Lonchura striata: one gene and its partners. The protein of the gene in region 3 interacts with the protein of the main gene of each other region in a pairwise test. Links are inferred from orthologs where the notes say so. Each region holds a gene or a part of one and is shown on either strand. Other genes may lie near its edges. The genes, in order: RPLP1, ankyrin repeat and SOCS box protein 13 and NUDT3.

Region 1 (6,527 bases), on a different chromosome or scaffold from region 3:
TGGAATACCTGGAACACAGTCCTTACCTTGTTCAACTGTTCTGGAGAAGTGCTTTCAAGGGTTATTTATAAAACCCATGCCTTTTAAGTAGCCCCTTTCCAGTGCAGTTACATCACCTCCCACAAGCACCCTTTACACCAGTTTTCTGGCCAGGTAAATCTATTCTGTACCTTACACAACCTCAGCCTTCTACCCGAGAACTGCAGCCTTTTTCCCCACGATGAAAAGCCTTCGGCTTTGCTGTGCCACAGCTGCCCCTGCACGGGTGCCATGGGAGCTGCACTGCTGCTGTAACCAGGGGTGTCACAGCACCAGAGGCTGCAGCACCAGCCCAGCCCTTCTGCAGAACAGGATCCCATCCTACAGCTCCAGGCTGTCACCACCACACCCTCTGCTCACCGGGATTTCATTCCTCCCTCTGTTCAGGGACTGTGGGTGCCTTTTAGAGCTTGTGGAACACCAAAAAGCTGAGAGGGGAAGTTGTAAAGCCCCAGCTGAGCACTCATGACAGAAGTTTAAGGAGGTGCAGGTAACTTGGCCATTCTCCACCCTCCACAAACATCCACCTGAGAGACATGAGTACAAGCAGATGTTCTTTATTACAGGCTGGTACAAAATTAATTAGTCAAAAAGACCAAAGCCCATGTCATCATCAGATTCCTCTGATTCTTCCTTCTTCTCCTCTTCTTTCTTCTCCTCAGCTGGAAAGGAAATGAGACAGGATTTATCTTTCAATTTATCATCTCACAGAAGTCACTTGTCACAACAGGTGTCACATGCAATGACTAACATCAAGCATGAAGACCTGAGCAGTCCTAACAACCTAAGCCAGCAGCAAGAATAGTGAATATAAAATAGAATAGTGTTTGTACTAGTAGGAAGAGTGGTTTTGTGACTTCAGAGTTCATTTCTATCAAAACTGAAAAACTTTGGGAGAGGAGATGCTGATGCTCTGTATGATCCTGATGACATACAGGAAAAGCAATTTAATTCTGAGGGAACACTAATCCTGTACACTGACTTCATGTGCAACGCCAGCCTTTCTCAAGGGGAGGGCGTGCTTTGCTCAAGAACACTCACTCACACACTGCATGGCACCAACCACATGCAAGCAGCTCCTGTAGCCGGTGCTTGCAAAGCTGCGGCTGCCCCATCCCTGCAAGCGTGGGATGGGCCTCTGAGCAGCCGAGTCTAGACGACGGTGTCCCTGCCCAGGGCAGGAGAGTGGGAAGAGATGGCCTTAAAGACCCTCCCAACTCAAGCCACTCCACGGATCCACGGATCCACGTTCCCAGGTCCGGTCGGACGCGGCCGCCACTTACCGGGGGCGGCTCCGCCGGCGGGCGCGGCACCGCCCGCGGGAGCGGCGGCAGCCGGAGCCCCTCCGCCGCCCGCTCCCACGTTACAGATCAGGCTCCCGATGTCAATGTTCGCCAGCGCCTGCGGAGAACGACACGCGGCAGCGAAGCCCGGTTACCATGGGCGGGAGGTGCGGTGCGGAGCCCACACGCCATCTCTGCCCGGCCCGCGGCCCCTCTCGCCCACCTTGGCGAAAAGCCCCGGCCAGAAAGGCTCCACGTTCACTCCGGCTGCCTTGATGAGCGCGTTGATCTTGTCCTCCTGCAAGAAGAGAGCGGCGCTCAGAGCCCGCCCGGCGCGGCCCCTCAGGCGGCCATGCCGCGCGGCCGCCGCCATCTTGTGCGGCCGCACTCACCGTCACGGTGACCTCGTCGTCGTGCAGGATGAGGGCGGAGTAGATGCAGGCGAGCTCGGAGACGGAGGCCATGGCGGGGCGCGGTGCTGGTCGCCGGGTGGTTCGGCCTTAGCTTCGTACGAAGGACTCAGCACCTTGGGCCTCCGCGGAGCGAAAGGGGCCGGGCGCCGCGGCGCGGGTTTATAATGGCGGTGCGTGTTGCGTCATCTGTGACGTCACCCGCGGCCCGCCGCGCATGGGAGGTGCGCACGCGCGCTCCCGCCCTCCCCCTTCCCGGTCCCTCACCGGGAATGATCCGCCCGGAAAACCGGGAGCGGCGCTGGGCAGCGGGGCTGCTGCTCCCCCAGCACGGCCAGCACCGCCCGTGCCCCCAAGGGCCACTTCCCCGCGGCTTTTGTGTCCCTGCAGGGGTGCGGACTCCGCCACTGCCCTGGCTGAGGCCGTTTTCCCGGGATCCAAACCAAACCTCCCTGGCACAGCTTGAAGGACCCAAGCCCTCCTCCCCCATTAACTATTTCAGGTGTTACTGCCTCGCTAAAACACTCCATTTGCTGAGTGTAATGAAACGGGAAGAAAAGGTGCAGAACTGTGTGGCCTGATTTTCTCCACCCGAGCATGACAGGAGCTTTGCTGTGCAGTGACCGAGCACTGAACAGATGGGCCGGGGAGGGTGGGGGTCTCCCTCGATGGAGAGATTCCAGCGCTGTGCTCTGGGATGGCCCTGCTGGAGCAGGGGGGTGGCACCAGGTGACCCCACTGTGGTCCCTTCCAACCTCATCGTTCTGGGATTCTGGAGAGCCTGAGCAAATTCCAGCGTTTTGCTCCAAAGGCATAATCGGATTGTGAAAAATGAATGTTCTCCGTGTTTTCTTTTTTGTCTTCTTGACAGATGTGCAATTGATGAGCCTCACCTCAGTGGCTGGGCAGGGAATGGAACAGATTTCCTGGAAGCTGTGCCAGGGCACTCCTGGAGGACAGGGAGGTGATTTAGGACATCCACGGCTCCATCAAGGTCAAGTCCTGCCTGATCAGCCAAGGGACCTTCCATGATGGAGTGACCACATGGAGTGGACAAGGGAAGGGCTATGGATGTCACCTCTCTGGACTTCTATAAAGCCTTTAACACAGTCCCACACAACATTCTTATGTCTAATTGGAGAGAGATTAATTTTATGGATGGACTGTTTGGTGGATAAGGAATTGGCTAGATGGTCACATCCACAGTGCAGTGATTGACTCAATGTCCAGATGAAGATCAGATGTGTCTCTCACGTCTGTTTGGCACCATTATGATTTAAAGTCTTCATCAAAGACATGAACAGGGGGATCAGGTGCATTCCTGTGCATTGCAGTGGGGCTGGGCTATCTGACCTTTCAAGGTCCCTTTCAAGCTTGAAATTTTAGAATCCTAAAATGACAACTGTTACCAGCAAAGTGTATCCAGCCTGCTTTTGTAGTGCTCCTTTATAGAAATCTCAGGATTTATTAGGCAATTACAAGTGAAAACTGAGAGGGACTTTACCTCTTGACATTACCTCCATCCTTTCCTAAGGATCACAAACAACTGAGAATTTCACTAAACAAAAATCTAACACTACTCACTGCTGGAGATGATAAATGCACAGTGATGCAGTGCATAATTTGTGGGTGCTTATTCCTATTTGTGGGGCCAACAGCTCTGAATTTAAGCATTTACTTAAACTTCCTATTCAAAGCACAGGACAATTGTCTACATTTTTATACCTAACTCAAAGCAGCAAATAAATGCACTTTTCCAGTGGGATTAAATATCCAGGAACTTCTGTCATTGCTGGGTGCTTGAGGATGGGATTTCACAGGGACTTGTGTGAGCCTCACTCCGGGGCTGCCAAGGTCTCCTGTGCAAAAGCCCTCAGAGCTGTCCCAGTGGTCCATGAGATGATGATCTGACTGGAAAGTAGCAAGAGAGATATAAGATCCTTTTCAATCAAATAAACTTGCAAATTTTGCTGGCCTGGGAGATGAGTACTGGAAGTGTACAGGCAGTCAACAAAATTATATGCTTAATAGACATGGTTTTGTAACAGTTCTGCTACAACAGTCCTTAAGCTAAAAATTATTAGAAATTCTGATGGGTTGTTAAAAAATAAAATATGAAGACCTAAAATTTAAATGTGACATTCACATAAACTTAGGTTTTGGTTGGCAAAGATGTTAATTAAATGAGATTTGCCTGCATCCTTGCTTCATGGCTGTCTTGCTGCATCTATTGAGTGACACTGATAAAGCTGCTCTGTAGGAGCCCAGAATAAAGTTCTGATGAAAACAAATCACTATGTAAAAGAAAGCAAAAAGCCAAAAGAAACCCCAGTTTTGCTGCTTCCTAAAGCTTTTGGAAGCCTAGGTATGTGATCGGGACTGCTGGTTAATAAAGCTTAATTAATAAAGCTGGATGATAAAGGGTCTAGAAATTTGCAGTGGTGTGTGCTTTTCACCTCTGATCCTGTAACTGTCTGTACTTTTACTGTCTAACACATCACCATGCATTTGGAGCAGAAATCTGTTCTGGATAAATCTACAGCAAATAGATGGAGGCTTTAAAAAACCCCAGCAAACCCCCTTACATTCTTCTGTGTATTCTGCTATTCCAGGGTGGTGAGTTATTTCCAGGCTGTGAGGTTTAGGATGATGCTACAGCTGTGTACTAGCAAGCTGGTCCAGGATCACACAGGGCTGTCTTCAGGATAAACAAAACAAGTAACTTGGCTGTGAAACTTCCCTGAGGTGGATATTTGACACTTGGGGGATGGATGGTGAGGAGCAGTGGCAGAGATCTCGCTGGATGTGCCTGTGCATTGCCAAGGAAGATGAAAACATCAGCAAGCTCTGTCATTATCATACAAAAAGCAGTCAGCCCTTAGCACCTCACCCTGAATTAGCTGTGTGAACACTACAGAGCTGATGCTGAGAGTTAGAACATGACCAAGGCCACTGGTGGTCATCAAAGTGGTCAGACTCAAGAGGTCTTTACCAAGGAGACTTGAAGTTGATTGTTCCTTTCTCTGTTCTTGTCCTTGCTACACTATTTGGTTGCTGCTCATAACCTTCCTGAGGTGATTCTTCTCTCCTCAAGCTGCCTCTGTCCCATTCTAAGGCTGCAGTTTCTCAGTGACCAAAGGCAAAGCGTGGCCACAGGGCCAGGGCAGTGATTGTCCCCCCGTAGTCAGCACTGGGGAGGCCACACCTCGAGTCCTGTGCTGAGATTCGGGTTCTTTACTACAGGAAGGACATTGGAACCTGTCTGGAGAAAAGGAACAAAGCTGGGGAGGGAAGGAGCTGCCTGACAGGAGGCTGAAGGTGGGGCTTGGTGTCTTCTGCCAGGTAATGATGATAGGATGAGAGGAAATTACTTCAAGTTGTGCTCAAGTTGTACTCAGGGAAGTTTAAATTCACTATTAAGAAAAATTTCTGCATGGAAAGGATGGTCAAGCATTGGAACAAGCTTCCCAGTGAAGGGATTGAGCCTTGGAGGTATTTAAAAGACATGTAGATGTGGCACTTAGGAACATGCTTTTTTTCCTGGTGAACAGTCTCAGGTACAGTATTTACTTCTTTTATCTTCTTTCTGGAAAGTCTTTTTTGTTCCTAGTTGGATTTTTTTGTTTTTTGGTTGAGGTGGGTTTTTTGTTGTTGTTGTTGTTGTTTTTGGTGGTTTTTTGTTTGTTTGTTTTTTCCACTGTAACAAGGTCATTACAATGAAGAACAAAACTCTGGTATTTCTTGAAACTGTAACAACCAGTGAGTGTAACACATCCCCAATAGGTGGTGCTGCATCTTTTCCATCAAGTTGAATTGTTGCATTGTTGGCCCTGATCAGCTGGAAAAAATTGTTTTTTTGAGTGAACTGAAGTTAGTAATCTAATGATAATTAGTTGTTTTGTTTTGGGTTTTTAAAATATAAATTATTATTGCAATTCATTTGACAAAATAAATGCAGTTTTGTAACTTGGTAGTTGGGAGAGTTATCTATAGAAAGACAAAAATCATGTTTTGGTCCCTCCACCATGGATTAATTGTGGTTTAATATCTAATTGTTAAAATAACAAACAGTTCCTGAGCAGGGGGCCAGAACCCTCAAAGTGTTTGTAAAATTTGAACACTTTAGTGCATAGAGCCATGAACTTCTTCACTTTGGCTCTGATTTTAAATTCTTATGTAAAGCAGAATGCAGAATATGTGCCAGGTCCAATGCATGTACTGCAGGATAACATCTTAAAAGTTAGGCTAGTTGAGAGATGACAAACAAGAGCTTAAATCCCTTCCAAGTCAAGAATAAAATTCACATCTTTCAGCTCTGAGTAAAAATTTTTGCTACTGTATCATTGCAAACAATGACTGTCAGACATTTATAAACTCTGGGGTTTTAAAATTAATTAAATTTAAAATGGGAATGGTTGTTACTTAGGTTATGTTTTCTCATAAAAAGAAAAGCTGTATCATTTGTCACTAGCCTATTTGTGTATAAAATATTTTCCCTAGATTGCTGCCACTGCTATAAATGATTTTTAAAATGCTGCTCCTAAATACCATCTTTGCTTCAGAATTATTAGTACATACTTTTTTCCAAAATTAATAATTTCTACTGTGACAGATATCAGTTCTGGGAAATGTCATCTTGAAATTCAGCAGTTAAGAAAGGTATTGTGCCCAGCAGTTACTAATTTTTTTTCTTTTGAAAAACCTAATTTTAAGTGTTTAAGAAGCTGTTCTTACACTACCGTATAATTGTTAATACAGCATATAAAGACCATGCTTAAAAAAATGCTGTTACAGA
Region 2 (7,604 bases), on a different chromosome or scaffold from region 3:
GTAAAATTTTAGGATTCTAGATTAGGGGACAAGCTGGAGGAAATTGGGTGTGCCTTGTCCTTTTTCTCCTTCTTCATGCCCTCCATGTCTCACTGTGGTGTTGGCATTTTTCTGTTGGTTCAGGCTGGGGACACACTGTCCAACGGAGGTGACAGATATTGGCACGTTCTTGTAAATGCAGCCCAGGGAGTTTCTGGTATTGAATGTTTGTCACATCCCACTGAGGGCAGAGCCCCACACGCTGCCCTGCAGGACAGAGCTGGGCAGGGCAGCAGAACATGTGAGAGATCAACAGAATAAACAACCTGGGAACCAGCACAAACAGTTTATAACTTCTGCTTTGGCAGCAGAGCTAAAAAACAGAAACTTTCTACAATTTTGGAATCATCAACACCTCAGATTCCGACAGTATTTGGCACCCCACGGGATGGGATTTCTCAGGAGGGTGGGGAGGAGATGGGGTGGGATTCACATGTGGGAAGATGTGGTTGTCACACCCTTGGAATTGTCCCAGGATGGGTTTTGGAGAGGGTCTGGAGCAAGCTGGGCTGGTGGAAGGTGATGGAACAAGGGGAGTTTCCAACCCTTCCTGCCCAAATTGTTCCATGGAGATGTGTATTCCTGGAGGAGCACGGAAAGGGTTGGGATCAAGGGAAAAAAACTCAGCCCAACTCAAAAAATCTCTTCCCAAATTCTGGATTCTTGCAGGAACATGAGCTGGCTGGATGGAAGGAGAGCTGGGATCAAAGGAAAACTCAGCCCAACTCAAAAAATCCCTTCCCAAACTTCGGATTCCTGCAGGAACATGGAAAAAGAGCTGGGATTAAGGAAAAGCTCAGTCCAATTCAAAAATCCCTTCCCAAACTCTGGATTCCTAAAGGAACATGGAAAAAGAGCTGGGATCAAGGGAAAACTCAGTCCAATTCAAAAATCCCTTCCCAAACTCTGGATTCCTAAAGGAACATGGAAAAAGAGCTGGGATCAAGGGAAAACTCAGCCCAACTCAAAAATCTCTCAGGATTCCTGCAGGAACATGGGCTGGCTGGATGGAAGGAGAGCTGGGATCAAAGGAAAACTCGGCCCAACTCAAAAAATCCATTCCCAAACTCTGGATTCCTAAAAGAACATGGAAAAAGAGCTGGGATCAAGGGAAAATGGACAGCGTCACCTCCTCTCAGGTGGGCTTTGCTTTGGAGGTGGCCCTGAGCAAAAACAGCTCCCTGTGCTCACGCAGCCCCTCCTTAAAAAAAAAAAAGGGAATTCTGAGTATCAACATTTCCACAGGGTTTTTTTCCCTTGGTTTGGAAGATCCTCATTTCTTTGCCAGTATCCCCGGGCAGGGTGGATTTCCTTGCCTGGAGCTCCTCCTGGTTTTTGTGTCGGGAGAAGCAAATCCAAATGAGGATGGAGAGCTGGAGAGGGACTGGGGACAAGGATGGAGGGACAGGACCCAGGGAATGGCTCCCACTGCCAGAGGGCAGCCAGGGATGGGATTTGGGAATGAGGAATTCCTGGCTGGGCTGGGATTGCCAGAGCAGCTGGGGCTGCCCCTGGGTCCCTGGAATGTCCCAGGAAGGACTGGAGCAGCCTGAGATCATGGCAGGTGTCCCTGGAATGAGCTTTGAGGTCCCTTCCCACCCAAACTGGTCCAGGATTCTGGGATTTGGGACACTCAGGATCCATCCCGAGGGATTTTTATGGAAAATGGGGATAGAAAAGAGAGGGAAAGGGAAGGGAGACCCTTCATGGTTTCTGAGATTCCAAGTGAAGCCCCTGGGTCCATGAATTTCTTGGAGAGGAGATGGATCCAGTGTCAGGCTGGGAGAGCTGGGAATGTTCCCCTGGAGAAGGGAAGGATCCAGGGAGAGCTTCCAGCACATTCCAGGGCCTGAAGGGGCTCCAGGAGAGCTGAAATTTGGGAAAAGCCTGGAGGGACAGGACCCAGGGAATGGCTCCCACTGCCAGAGGGCAGCCAGGGATGGGATTTGGGAATGAGGAATTCCTGGCTGGGCTGGGATTGCCAGGGCAGCTGGGGCTGCCCCTGGATCCCTGGAATGTCCAAGGAAAGGCTGGAGCAGCCTGGGATGGTGGGAGGTGTCCCTGCCCCGGGAATCGGGACACAAGCCCTGGGAGTGACCCAGGATTTGGGCACCCGCGGCTCCAAGGTGGGAACGTCCACAAAACAGCGCGGGAGGGGAATTCGGGAAGAACACGGATCGTTCCCCGGGAATTCGGGAGGAACACGGATCGCTCCCGGGAATTCGGGAAGAACACGGATCGTTCCCGGGAATTCGGGAGGAACACGGATCGTTCCCGGGAATTAGGGGGGAACACGGATCGTTCCCGGGAATTAGGGGGGAACACGGATCGCTCCCCGGGAATTCGGGAAGAACACGGATCGCTCCCGGGAATTTGGGAAGAACACGGATCGCTCCCCGGGAATTCGGGAGGAACACGGATCGTTCCCCGGGAATTCGGGAGGAACAGGATCGCTCCCCGGGAATTCGGGAGGAACACGGATCGCTCCCTGGGAATTAGGGGGGAACACGGATCGCTCCCCGGGAATTCGGGAGGAGCAAGGATCGCTCCCGGTGTCCTGACACCCATCCTCTTAACCCTTTCCTTGCCCCTCGCTCCCTCGCCCAGCAGCCCCCAAATCCCACCCTTTAACCCCAAACCGCTCCTTAACCCCCATAGTCACACTTTAACCCCCAAACCCCTCTTTAGCACCCAAACCCACGCTTTAAACGCCAAGAGCCATCCGTAAACCTCCACACCAGTCCGCGCCACCGCAACCCACGCTGCAAGCGCCCAACTCATGGCGCAAGCCCCAAAGCCCCTCCCGCACGCCGCCAGGAGCCGGCGCGGGCGCGGCTCCGGGTTCTCCCGGAGCGGCCCCGGTCGCAGCTCGCTCCCCGGCGGGTCCCAGGCCCGAGCACACGCACCGATGTCGCCCCGCGCGGAGCCGCCGCCGCCCGGGCTCTCCATGGCCCGGCCCGCCGGGCCCGCCGCGCGGCACGACGGGAGTTGTAGTGCGGGGAGAGAGCGGGGAGCGCGGCGCGGGGCGCCCGCCGCGCGGCACGACGGGAGTTGTAGTGCGGGGAGAGAGCGGGGAGCGCGGCGCGGGGCGCCCGCCGCGCGGCACGACGGGAGTTGTAGTGCGGGGAGAGAGCGGGGAGCGCGGCGCGGGGCGCCCGCCGCGCGGCACGATGGGAGTTGTAGTGCGGGGACAGCGCGGGGAATGGGGAATGGGAATGGGGAATGGGGAACGGGGAAGTGGGATGGGGAACGGGGGAACTGGGATGGGGAATGGGGAATAGGATGGGATGAGGAATGGGGATGGGGATGGGGATGGGGATGGGGATGGGAATGGGAATGGAAATGGGATGGGGAATGGGAATGGGGAATGGGAGAACTGGGATGGGGAATGGGGATGGGGAATTGGGAATGGGGGAATGGGGAATTGGGAATGGGGAATGGGGATGGGGAATGGGGAATGGGGATGGGGAATGGGAATGGGGAATGGGGAATGGGGAATGGGGAATGGGGATGGGGAATGGGGAATGGGGAATGGGGATGGGGAATGGGGATGGGGAATGGGGGAACTGGGATGGGGAATGGGGAATGGGGAATGGGGAATGGGGAATGGGGAATGGGGATGGGGAATGGGAATGGGGAATGGGGGAACTGGGATGGGGAATGGGAATGGGGAATGGGAATGGGGAATGGGAATGGGGAATGGGGGAACTGGGATGGGGAATGGGAATGGGAATGGAAATGGGAATGGAAATGGGAATGGGGAATGGGGATGGGGAATGGGGGAACTGGGATGGGGAACGGGGAATTGGAATGGGGAATGGGGAAACTGGGATGGGGAATGGGGAAACTGGGATGGGGAACAGGGAATGGGGAAACTGGGATGGGGAATGGGGATGGGGAATTGGGAATGGGGGAATGGGGAATGGGGATGGGGATGGGGATGGGGATGGGGATGGGGAATGGGGGAACTGGGATGGGGAATGGGCAATGGGGATGGGGAACTGGGATGGGGAATGGGGAATGGGGATGGAATGGGGAATGCGGAATGGGGATGGAATGGGGAATGGGATGGGGAATGTGGGACTGGGATGGGGAATGGGGAACTGGGATGGGGTCTGAGGGTTACTGGGAGCACTGGGATGGGGTGCAGGGCTTACTGGGAGCACTGGGATGGGGTCTGAGGGTTACTGGGAGCACTGGGATGGGGTGCAGGGCTTACTGGGAGCACTGGGATGGGGTCTGAGGGTTACTGGGAGCACTGGGATGGGGTCTGAGGGTTACTGGGAGCACTGGGATGGGGTGCAGGGGTTACTCCTACTTCAGGGAGAGCTGTTCCTCCAAGCAGAAATCCCATTTTTACATTATTCCTTCATTTTTACATTATTTTTAGGAAATTTAATTTTTTTAGCTGGGAAAAAAATTAAAATTCTATCACTTCTATTCTGCATTGACTTCACTTCTGACCATAAAAATCCACCCTGTCCTTGCTCCCTGCTGGGATGGAAAAATCCATGTTTTTCTCCCAAAAATTACCAATCTGGGAGAAAATATCAATTTTGGAGGAAATACCAATTTGCCCCTGCAGGAGGATAAAATTCCATAAATCCATTCTGGTTTGAAATGACAGAGCTGGAAAATCCATGGCAATAATTCCATAAAAACTGCAATTGTTCCATCCTGGGAGGATTTTTCCAGGTTCAAAAAAAAAAAAAAAAAAGATATTTTTCCCAAAGAATTTATGGCTGCTCCATGCCTGGAATTGCTGGATGGGGGCTTGGAGGAATTTGGGATAGTGAAGTGTCCCTGCCAATGGAATTGGAGGAATTTTAGGTGCTTTCCCACCCAAAAAATTCCATGATTCCAAGATTTTTGCCAGGATCAAACCTTTTGGAGAGAGCTCGTATCTGCTGGCTCCAGCTGTACCTGGTAAAAAGAGCGATAATCAATGTCAATAATTAACATTTCAGCTCAATATTTAAAAAATCTTCAGGTTTATATTGCAAATTTATCGGCTAAGCAGCACCAGGAATTATTTTTTGAAGAGTGAAGCGACGAAATGAATAATTTTTGTGAAAAATAAGAGGGTGGGGAATGGCAGAGACTTGAAAAAAATGAGAATTTTCTGCCTTCCTTGCCACCTTTGAGTCATTTCCTGAGGATTCTCTGTGGTTTAACAGTTGCACCATTAAATTCAAATAAACTGGGTTTTACTTCAAGCCTTTTGTCAGGGCTGGTTTAACTTTAGGTCTGACTTTAAAAAGCCACCAGGACTATTTGAAATGTTTGACATCACCACCCCAGCAGCACCGTGGGTTCCAGAGGCGCAAAACGCCAAAATTGCTCAAAAAGAAAACCAAAACCAAGAATAAATCAAAGCAAAAAGCAAAAATCTTAACTGGGTCGGGAGCACTGCATGAAAAGCCCACGAAAAAGCATCAAAAATTCTCTTTCCTGGGGTATTTTTGATGGTTTTCACCTTTTTTTTTTGGGACAGGCGTGACAAAATTAAAAGGGAAATAAAATAAATGCCATTTCATGGGGTATTTTTGATGATTTTCAGCATTTTTTTGGACAGAAGTGACAAAATTAAAGGAGAAATAAAATAAAATTGGGCAAAATTTGCTGTGAGATCCTAAGAGATTAAAGGAGTTTTTCTTGAGTGAAGAACGGGGCAAGGGGGTGACACCTTGCTGTGGAATAAAGTAAAAATTTGGGTTTAAAAGTCCAGATTTTGCTTTTTTTTTTTCCCTTTTTATTTTCTGTTCTTTTTTTTGTTTTGTTTTGTTTTGTTGGTTTTTTTGGGTTTTTTTGGGGTTTTTTTGTTTTGTTTTTGTTTTGTTTTGTTTAGTTGGTTTTTTTGGGGTTTTTTGGGGGTTTTTTGTTTTGTTTTTGTTTTGTTGGGTTTTTTGTTGGGGTTTTTTTTTTTTTTTTTTTTTTTTTTGTTTTGTTTTGTTTTGATTTGTTTTGGTTTGGTTTTTTGGTTTTGGTTTTGTTTTTGTTTTTTGGTTTGCCACCCCTTTAGAGAAAACAGAGCAGAAATGGAGGGGGCAGCAAATTTCTGCCCACTCGAGCTGAAACCCGTGGATTTTTTCGGAGAAAATCGGAAAAATCGCTGCCTTGTTGTCAACATGGGCTTGAAAAATTAATGGAAAAGACAGGTCCCTTCCCACCCAAACGATCATAAGGAAATAGGAGAAAACTCAGCATTTCCATGATGAGCAAGCCAGAGAAATGCAGCTTTTCCATGAATTTCTGGGATTGACCCAAAAGGATCCTCTCTGCTGTTTGCAGGTTGTGTTCTCCCCCGGACTGCCCCACAAAGTCAATAATAAATAGAATTATTTGCTTTACCCTGATGTCACCAGGAGCTGCTGCTCTCACCTCCCGCTTGAGTCATTGCGCTGCCACTCTTCACGGAGCCGAATAATTCGATTTTTTTATTCTGAATAAAAATAAAACGCCAAACGGTTTCTTTAAAATCACATCGAAGCGCACCAGAAAACTTTGTGAGTCAAGAAGCCAAAATAAATCCACGCCAGGAACCGGGTCCCCACCACGGTGACATCATGGGCTTGGCTTGTCACCACCCAAAAAAATCACGAGGCACCAAAAAGAGAAACTTTTCCCCACCAGGAGTAGCTCCCAAGACTGAATTACTTGGATTTCTTTGGGCACAGGGCTGGGGGTTTTCCCCTCTTAAAGGGCAGCCAGGAAGGAATTTCTGTCTCAGCAAGAATTCCAGGTTTTTATCCGCCAGAAGGAGCTAGAAAAATCCCATGGATCTGGCAAATTTGCTGTGATAAACGCTAGAAAGAAATAATAATATGTTAATAATAATAAATAATTAAGCCTAAAAATGGTCATCGGCAAATTTGCTGTGATAAACGCTAGAAATAAATAATAATATGCTGATAATAATAAATAATTAAGCCTAAAAATGGTCATCGGCAAATTTGCTGTGATAAACGCTAGAAATAAATAATAATATGCTGATAATAATAAATAATTAAGCCTAAAAATGGTCATCGGCATCATCAATTTGCTGTGATAAATGCTATAAATAAATAAGAATACATAAATAATAATTTATAATTAAGCCTAAAAATGGTCATCAGCATCATCAATTGCTGCAATAAATGCTATAAATAAATAATAATATGTTAATAATAATAAATAGTTAAGCCAAAAAATGGTCATCAGCAAATTTGCTGCGATAAATGCTATAAATAAATAATAATATGCTAATAATAATAAATAGTTAAGCCTAAAAATGGTCATCGGCAAATTTGCTGCGATAAATGCTATAAATAAAAAATAATATGTTAATAATAATAAATAATTAAGCCAAAAAATGGTCATCGGCATCATCAATTTGCTGTGATAAATGCTATAAAGAAATAAGAATACATAAATAATAATATATAATTAAGCCTAAAAATGGTCATCGGCATCATCAATTTGCTGCGATAAATGCTATAAATAAATAATAATATGCTAATAATAGTAAATAATTAAGCCTAAAAATGGTCATTGGCATTATCAATTTGCTGCGATAAATGCTATAA
Region 3 (7,142 bases):
ACCCTGGAGTTGCTAGACAGCCCAGATCTGAGAAGGCTTTGGGGGAATATTTCAGGGGCAAGGTAAAAGATTCCAAAAGAAGCTCTAACCCCCAATGTAGTCCTAGACTTTTATTCTCAAAAGTTTCCAGGGGAGAAAAAGGGAGAACAAGGGAGAACAGAGCCTTGTCTAGACTCCTGCTCATGAAAATATAATTGGCTCTCAGCCAATTAGGTCAAGAAAGGAAGGAAAGGTTAAACTAACATGGTTACAGCTACAGGGGTCTCTGGTGGGGAAAAAGCCATTTCCCACAGGAATACAACCAGGTCCTTGTTTAAGGTGAACAGCAAACTCGTGGTGGAGGAGCAGCAGAGCTCACAAAAATGCTGAGGGGTTTGGAGCACCTCTGTGAGGAGAGACAGAGGGAGCTGGGCCTTGTTAGTCTGGAGGAGAGGAGACAAATCCCCACAGATTTGCCCAGGGCATGTACCAGAGGATGCTGCCAGACTCCCTTCAGCGCTGCCCAGTGGCAGGACAAGGAGCAGTGACCAGAAACTAAAATACAGCAAGTTCCACCTCAGCATGAGGAAGAGCTTCCCACTGGAGCAGCTGGGGGTGTGGTGGTCTCCCTCTCTGGGCACATTCCAGACCCACCTGGACACGTTCTTGTGCCACTGCTCTGAGTGACCCTGCCTTGAGAGGGCTTGAAGAGGGTGAGCTCCAGATCAGCCCCAGCTGCTCTGTGATTCTGTGTGTGGGGCTTGCAGCTCTGATTTTCCCTTGGTGGCTTTTCACACCCCAAGTGCAGGGGGTGCAGCAGACTCTGCTCTGGGGGATCACATGGGTTGTGCTTTTTTGCTTCTGAGCCACTTTGGGGGCCAAGGAGCGCTGGGAGTTCACCCCCAGCTGCTGCAGTTTGTGTCTGAGCCAAACAAAATGGGAGCATCACCTGCTTCAAAGGAAGGAATTGCAGAGAAACTGGGAATACGATGCTTTCTTTGATCTCTGAGTTGCTTGGGTGTTCCAAGATTTGTTCTTTAGATGCTGCGTTTATCCAGTGAGCTTAAAGGAGCTGCATCCCTGCTGGGAGGGAGGGAGGACTGGCAGCTTCTGGCTGGGGTTTGTGCAGGAGGAGCTGTGTGTGGTGTCACAGGATTGTCCTGGTGCTGGAACCCTCCTCAGCCCCCTCTGGGCAGGGATATTTGGAAGGGCTGCACTTGGTGCTCTTTTTTTACTGTGGATGAGGCAGCAGCAGTCTGAGAGCCACAGAGGTGGTGTAGTAAAATAATTATTGCAAGAACTGGGATTTTTATGGCCATACCAATGCATGTGGATGTTCAGGAGGATGCTGGGGTGCATCCTTGGTCCTGCCTGGGTGGGCTCTGCCCAGCCTGGGCTCCAGGCACACAGCCCAGTCCCTGAGAGGTGGTGGTCCCACCACAACTGGGTGTTCCTGCAGCAGTTTTGTCTGCTATTAATCTGACATTCTACAGATAATCTGCTTTTACTGACATGAGGAATTTGGGGTACTGACAGTGTGGCTGGTTCAGGCTGGGGTCCGAATTCTGTCCTGCAGTTTGGGATCAGCTGTGCACCAACATCAGCCATGGCAGACTCCCAGTATTCTGGGATTTTTATCAACAAAGCACTAGTTTGATGTCCAGAAGACAATTGGGATGATGCTGTAAACCCACTTCTCACATTATTTAACTTCCACCCTGCCCCAAGCTGAGCAGATTTCACTCTTAAAGTGAAGTTTCCCTTACTAAATCACTGCTTCCCTTAGGTTTATTCTCCCCGAACTGCTCCAGGTGCAGCACTGCTGGCAGACCCGGTGCTGTTCTGCACCTTGGGGTGCAGGAGCTTTGTGTTTGTGGCCTGGCTGAGCAGCGTTTGAGGCTCTGCTCTGTGTTGCAGGTCTGGAGGGCGAGCGCCCGGCGCGGCTGACGCGGGGTGAGGCTGACCGCGACACGTACCGCCGCAGCGCCGTGCCACGTGAGTGTGCCCCCTGTGCCCCCCTGCCCCCTCGGGGACAACTGTCCAGCTCTGGGGCTCCTCTCAAGGAGAAAAGAGGAAGATGAGGCTCTTGGCATAGCTATGGGTCTGTATGTGAGCGTGGATGGGAGGAGTGCTGGAGTTTTGTCCAGCTGAGCTGTGGGGTTTGCCCTGGGGTTGGCTCAGTAATTCTCAAACGTGCTCATTTACAGCTGTTGCTTTGCTGTGTTTAGCCCCAGTTTTAGTTCTGTGGGATGGTTAAAACTTTGCTTCCAGGCAGGGGATTCTGTGGGTACTGACTGCTTCTCTTTCTGCAGCTGGTGCTGACAAGAAGGCTGAGGCTGGTGCTGGAGCAGCCACAGAATTCCAGTTTGTGAGTGTTTGCATTTGAACTTTGCTTCCTTTTTTGAAGGTTTTGGTGGGAGAAGCTGGAAGGTCCTGCCTGTAGGATTCTGAGGGTGTCAGAGGGGCTGGAAACTGTCACCCTTCAGATGCAGCTTGCTCACTGTAGGGAAAGGATGTGGTGGGACAGAGGCCAGTGACAAGTTTGAGAGCAGGCTGAGCTCTCTGGAGATCCATGGTTTTATACCTCAAAAATGAAAGTATTTCAGGTTTGATCCACAGAGCTGGCTGGAATGTGTTGATGTTGGTGGCACTCGCCTGGCTGACCTGTGCCATCAGAGCTTTGATGATGTTTGTCACTGCTTGACACAATGATTTCTAACACTCCTTTTGCTGTTGCAGAGAGGTGGATTCGGTCGTGGACGTGGTCAGCCCCCGCAGTAGAACTTCGTGCTCATGTTTTGTGTATAATAAAAGAGGTGAAAATGCCACTGGGTTCATGCCTGTGTCTGAAGCACACAAACAGAACTCACGAAGCACAGCGTGACTCAGAGCTTTGGCATCTGGGACAGCACTTTGGGAGTGACTAAATGCAGGTTCTGTTCTGCTGAAGGAAGTTCAGGGGTGTGGAAGTGAGTCCTGGAGGAATGCAGGAGCATTTCCCATCTGCCCGGGGCGATGCAGCAGGGCTGGGCTGGGGCTGAGCTGGAAAACTCAGCTGTGCCAGCCCGTGTCCCTCTGATGGGGACACGGCCCGCGTGTCCGCACCCTGCGCTGTCACCTGGGCTGTCCCTTGTGGGGACCGGGGGCGGGATGGCGGCAGGACCGACGGGGGGCGAGTGGCGCAGTGGCCGCCGCCTGCCGCCAAGTGTCGCTGGGCAGCCGGTGACAACCGGTAACGGGCCGTGATGGCCGCGGTGTCACCGGGCACACGGACACTGACCTGGCGTGTCACCCAGGGGAATGGACACCCAGCCGGGTGTCACCGGAGGGGGAATGGACACACGGAGAATGGCACCGGGGATGGACGCGGCCCCGCGGTGTCACCGGGGATGGACACGGCCCCGCGGTGTTACCGGGGGGGATGGACGCGGCCCCGCGGTGTCACCGGGGGGATGGACACCGGGGATGGACGCGGCCCCGCGGTGTCACCGGGGGGATGGACACCGGGGATGGACGCGGCCCCGCGGTGTCACCGGGGCCGGGACCGGCGCGGTGCCGGCGCTGCCGCAGCGCCCCCGCGCGGCGCAGGGCGGGCACTGCCGTCCCCGCGGAGCCGCTGTCACCGCGGGGCCACGTGCGCGCGGCCGGCCCGGCCCCTTGCGCCGTTCGCGTAAGGCCGAGCGCCCGCCGCCGCCGCTCTACGCCGCCCGCCCTATTCCCGAACGCGGCCCGCGCCGATGGCGTAGAGCGCGCGAGCCGGGGCGGGGGCGTGGCGGCGCCGCCAGCGCGGGGGGAGCGATTCTGGAAGCCGCGCTGCGCACTTGGCGCTCCGTGAGGCCGCAGGGGCAGCGCCGCCTCCCCGCCCGGCGGCGCTACGCCGTTTGCGTAGCGAGCCCCAAGATGGCGGCGCGGTCGTCGTCGGCGGTGGCCGGAGCGCGGGCGGTGGCGGCGGCGCGGCCGGCAGCGAGGGCAGGGGTGAGGCGGGCGAAGGGCGGCAGCGCGTAGCGAGACCCACGAAGCGAGAACCAGAGAGAGACTGTCGCGGGCAGGCGGTCCCCCCGCGCCCCCCCCCGTCCTTCGCCGCCCGGTGGGTCCCGCCCGCCCCCGCCCTCCGGGCCGCGCGTCCTCCGGCCCCGCCGCCCCCGGAGCGGAGGATGATGAAGCTCAAGTCCAACCAGACGCGCACCTACGACGGGGATGGCTATAAGAAGCGGGCGGCCTGCCTGTGCTTCCGCAGCGAGAGCGAGGAGGAGGTGAGGGGCGAGGCCGGGCCCGGGACCCCCGAGCCGCCCCGGGGTGGGGGGGACTCGGTGCAACGGGGTTTTATTTTTAATAGGCGTCGTTCGGCGTCGCTGGCGGAGCTGGCGCTGCCCGCTTGGTTGCTGTGTCCGCTGGAGATGCCCGGTGGGCGGCAGGACGGGCGGAGGGGAGCTCGGGAGGGGGTTTGGCAGCGTGGGGACCGACCACGCTGGCAGAACTTCAGTCCAGTGCATCACATGAGATGGCAGAGGAAACCTGACCTTGGATTTATAAAAAGAAACTGGGATAAAAGGGGACTGATGGAGTGCCAGAAGTTGCTGTCCGGAGAGTTTGGGAGGAAGTGGGAAATAAAGGTGGATCGGTTGATTTGAGAACGGCCGCGTTGCTAAGGGGCTGCATTGTCCGGGAAGTTCCAGTGAGAAACTTCGCTCCCGTGTGCGGTTTTACACCAATTTTTGTTGACAGCTCCTGAAGGTGGGCTCGGGGTGCTCCGAGCAGCGAGGTTGCAGGTCTGCCTTCTGCTGCTGCTGCTGCTGGAGTCAGGCGTACACACTCCGCTGCATTTGCTGTGCCCGAGTGGCTGTGCTAAAGTCTTTGTTCTCCTGATTATCATATTTGTAGCTACAGGAAATCGGGAGGGAATGCAGACAGTTCACTGGAGGAAAGGCAATTAGCATACATCCAGTTATTATTTAACGTGAAGGAGACTGCAAGCCCTTTGTAGCTGTGCTGGCGTGATGAGGAGTGTCAGCATTTCAGCAGAAATGGTCTGAAATGACAGCAGTGTGTTTGGTGTAGTGTTCAGTGTAGCTGATCCTTCCCACGGACTTCCAGGAAATTTATGGACTGACCATGAAGAGGACCATCATTGTTTTTGTGTGGTGATGCTGGGGGTGCTCAGCACGGGTGGGTCAGGGCGTTGGAGTGCCCTGATGAATTGTACACAATTAGTGGGGCAGTTTGCAGGCTCTTCTCCAGACGGTGGAGGCTTGGCCATGTGTGAATGCAGTGTGGTTTAGGGTAGAAAAGTACTTCTAACAGGTGCCTGAGGCACTCAGCGTGTGACCGGTTGTGAGTTTTATTTTAACACACCTCAGGCTGCAGTGTTGCCCAAGCTCCAGCTGATCCCTCCGGCCCGTGGGAGCTGGTGACAGAACCCTTGTGGTGCTGGGGACACCCAGGTGTGCTATGGCAGGTGACAGAGCCCTCATGATGCTGGGGACACCGAGGTGTGTTATGGCAGGTGACAGAGCCCTCATGGTGCTGGGGACACCGAGGTGTGTTATGGCAGGTGACAGAGCCCTCACTGTGCTGGGGACACCGAGGTGTGTTATGGCAGGTGACAGAGCCCTCACTGTGCTGGGGACACCCAGGTGTGCTATGGCAGGTGACAGAGCCCTCACTGTGCTGGGGACACCCAGGTGTGTTATGGCAGGTGACAGAGCCCTCATGATGCTGGGGACACCGAGGTGTGTTATGGCAGGTGACAGAGCTCTCACTGTGCTGGGGACACCAGGCTGTGTGGCAGTGCCACAGTGCTCAGAGCTCCAAGGAGGAAAGTGAGCTCGTTCCCAAGGCACGCTGGCGTGGGATGGATGCTTCAGCAGGCTCAGCTGTCAGGTTGGTGTAAGGCTGAGATTCAAAACCCCTTTTGTGTCTTCGCTGTGGTCTCCACCTGCAGTGGGTTGAATTTAAACTCCTTCAGGCTCTAGTTTCTAGGTAAGGGCTGGAGTAGAACGATCTGTGTCTGGTTTCAGGCAGGGTTTGAGGGAGCTGGCTCCCTGTGCTGGTTGTGCTGGCTCATTCCTGGGGGCCCGTGGGAGGTTTCTGTGAGCAGGGCAGGCTCTGGGTGAGCGTTGTGCTGTCCCTGTGGTCGCTGTTGGTGGCCTCGTCCCTGAGCTCGCAGTGACAGCTGGCAGTGGCTCTGCTGCCCTGGGACAGCTCGGGGAGGGAGCAGTGGCTGCACTCCTGGCTGGGCTGGTTTCCTCAGGGTGTGCTATGTGTGCTGCTGGTGAGGAATGAGGCAGGGAAGGGCTGTGTGTGGTAGCTGGGAGTTGAACCCTGAGCTGAAAGTGCCTCCTGTGCTCCCACCTGTTACAGCCCTGCTGCAGGAGCTGCCCAGGAAGAGGGCTTGTCACAAATACATCTGGGAAAGTTCTTACCAATCCCACAGAATTAACCCCACTGGGATGGACTCTGTGCTCAGATCCTGCACTTGGCCTTGGTCAAAAGGTGTTGAAGTTAAACTTGTGTCAATGAGTGAAATCAGCAAGCAGGACACCTTATTAATTTTCCTTTCTAATTATTTCCTGGGTTAATTCTCATTTGTTGGTTTTTAAATAAACTTTGAAAGAAGCTGCCTGGTGTCCACTCACTGCGACTTGCACTTAATTTTGATAGCAAGAAAGGTGTCATCTGTACACATTTAAGCACAGAATATAAAATGGCTGTGAAAGATTTCTTGGTTTGCTCTTGGACAATAATACTTTCTAATGTTACTGACGTATTTTATTATTGATTGCTTCTATTTAAGTGGAAATTGAGATCTCTTTAAAAGGTCTCTCCAGGGAGGGGAGAAAGAGTCAGAGCCAAAGTATGTACATTAAAGAGCTATTAAAAGCTTAGTGTTTGAAAAGAGAGAAGAAAATAAGAATGTTTTGATAAATAAATTAAACTTTCTATATTAAAGTAGGATTTTTCCTAGGACTGGCTGTTTCTCATTACTGTTCCTTTTAAGTGCTTAAGAAATAGTAGAACTTTGGTCTTGCCTTTCTTCTTCATTTCCTGCTATGAACTCAGAAATCCCATTTTTTCCTGTTTTTAACCCCGCATTATTTCTTGAATTTAAAAAGTTTGTCAATGGACAAGAAGAAACAAGAGAATTCTGTTTACTCTTACAGAGG

The links.
Region 1: the proteins of NUDT3 (region 3) and RPLP1 interact in a two-hybrid assay, tested with the Homo sapiens proteins (2 studies listed by BioGRID and IntAct). The link is inferred for Lonchura striata from reciprocal best matches to the Homo sapiens genes NUDT3 and RPLP1.
Region 2: the proteins of NUDT3 (region 3) and ankyrin repeat and SOCS box protein 13 interact in a two-hybrid assay, tested with the Homo sapiens proteins (2 studies listed by BioGRID and IntAct). The link is inferred for Lonchura striata from reciprocal best matches to the Homo sapiens genes NUDT3 and ASB13.

The regions. Positions count from the first base shown.
Region 1 is NC_134603.1:5,028,172-5,034,698, forward strand, and holds RPLP1 (large ribosomal subunit protein P1), read right to left. Parts: upstream 1,915-6,527; 5' UTR 1,787-1,914; coding exon 1,715-1,786; intron 1,621-1,714; coding exon 1,546-1,620; intron 1,441-1,545; coding exon 1,323-1,440; intron 702-1,322; coding exon 622-701; 3' UTR 581-621; downstream 1-580. UniProt on the Homo sapiens protein: Plays an important role in the elongation step of protein synthesis.
Region 2 is NC_134607.1:71,793,495-71,801,098, forward strand, and holds the start of ankyrin repeat and SOCS box protein 13, read right to left. Parts: upstream 3,013-7,604; 5' UTR 2,989-3,012; coding exon 2,946-2,988; intron 1-2,945. UniProt on the Homo sapiens protein: May be a substrate-recognition component of a SCF-like ECS (Elongin-Cullin-SOCS-box protein) E3 ubiquitin-protein ligase complex which mediates the ubiquitination and subsequent proteasomal degradation of target proteins.
Region 3 is NC_134632.1:4,258,459-4,265,600, reverse strand, and holds the start of NUDT3 (diphosphoinositol polyphosphate phosphohydrolase 1), read left to right. Parts: upstream 1-4,085; 5' UTR 4,086-4,133; coding exon 4,134-4,232; intron 4,233-7,142. Other genes in the region: RPS10 (small ribosomal subunit protein eS10), read left to right, coding at 1,897-1,974, 2,292-2,347, 2,719-2,760. UniProt on the Homo sapiens protein: Cleaves a beta-phosphate from the diphosphate groups in PP-InsP5 (diphosphoinositol pentakisphosphate) and [PP]2-InsP4 (bisdiphosphoinositol tetrakisphosphate), suggesting that it may play a role in signal transduction.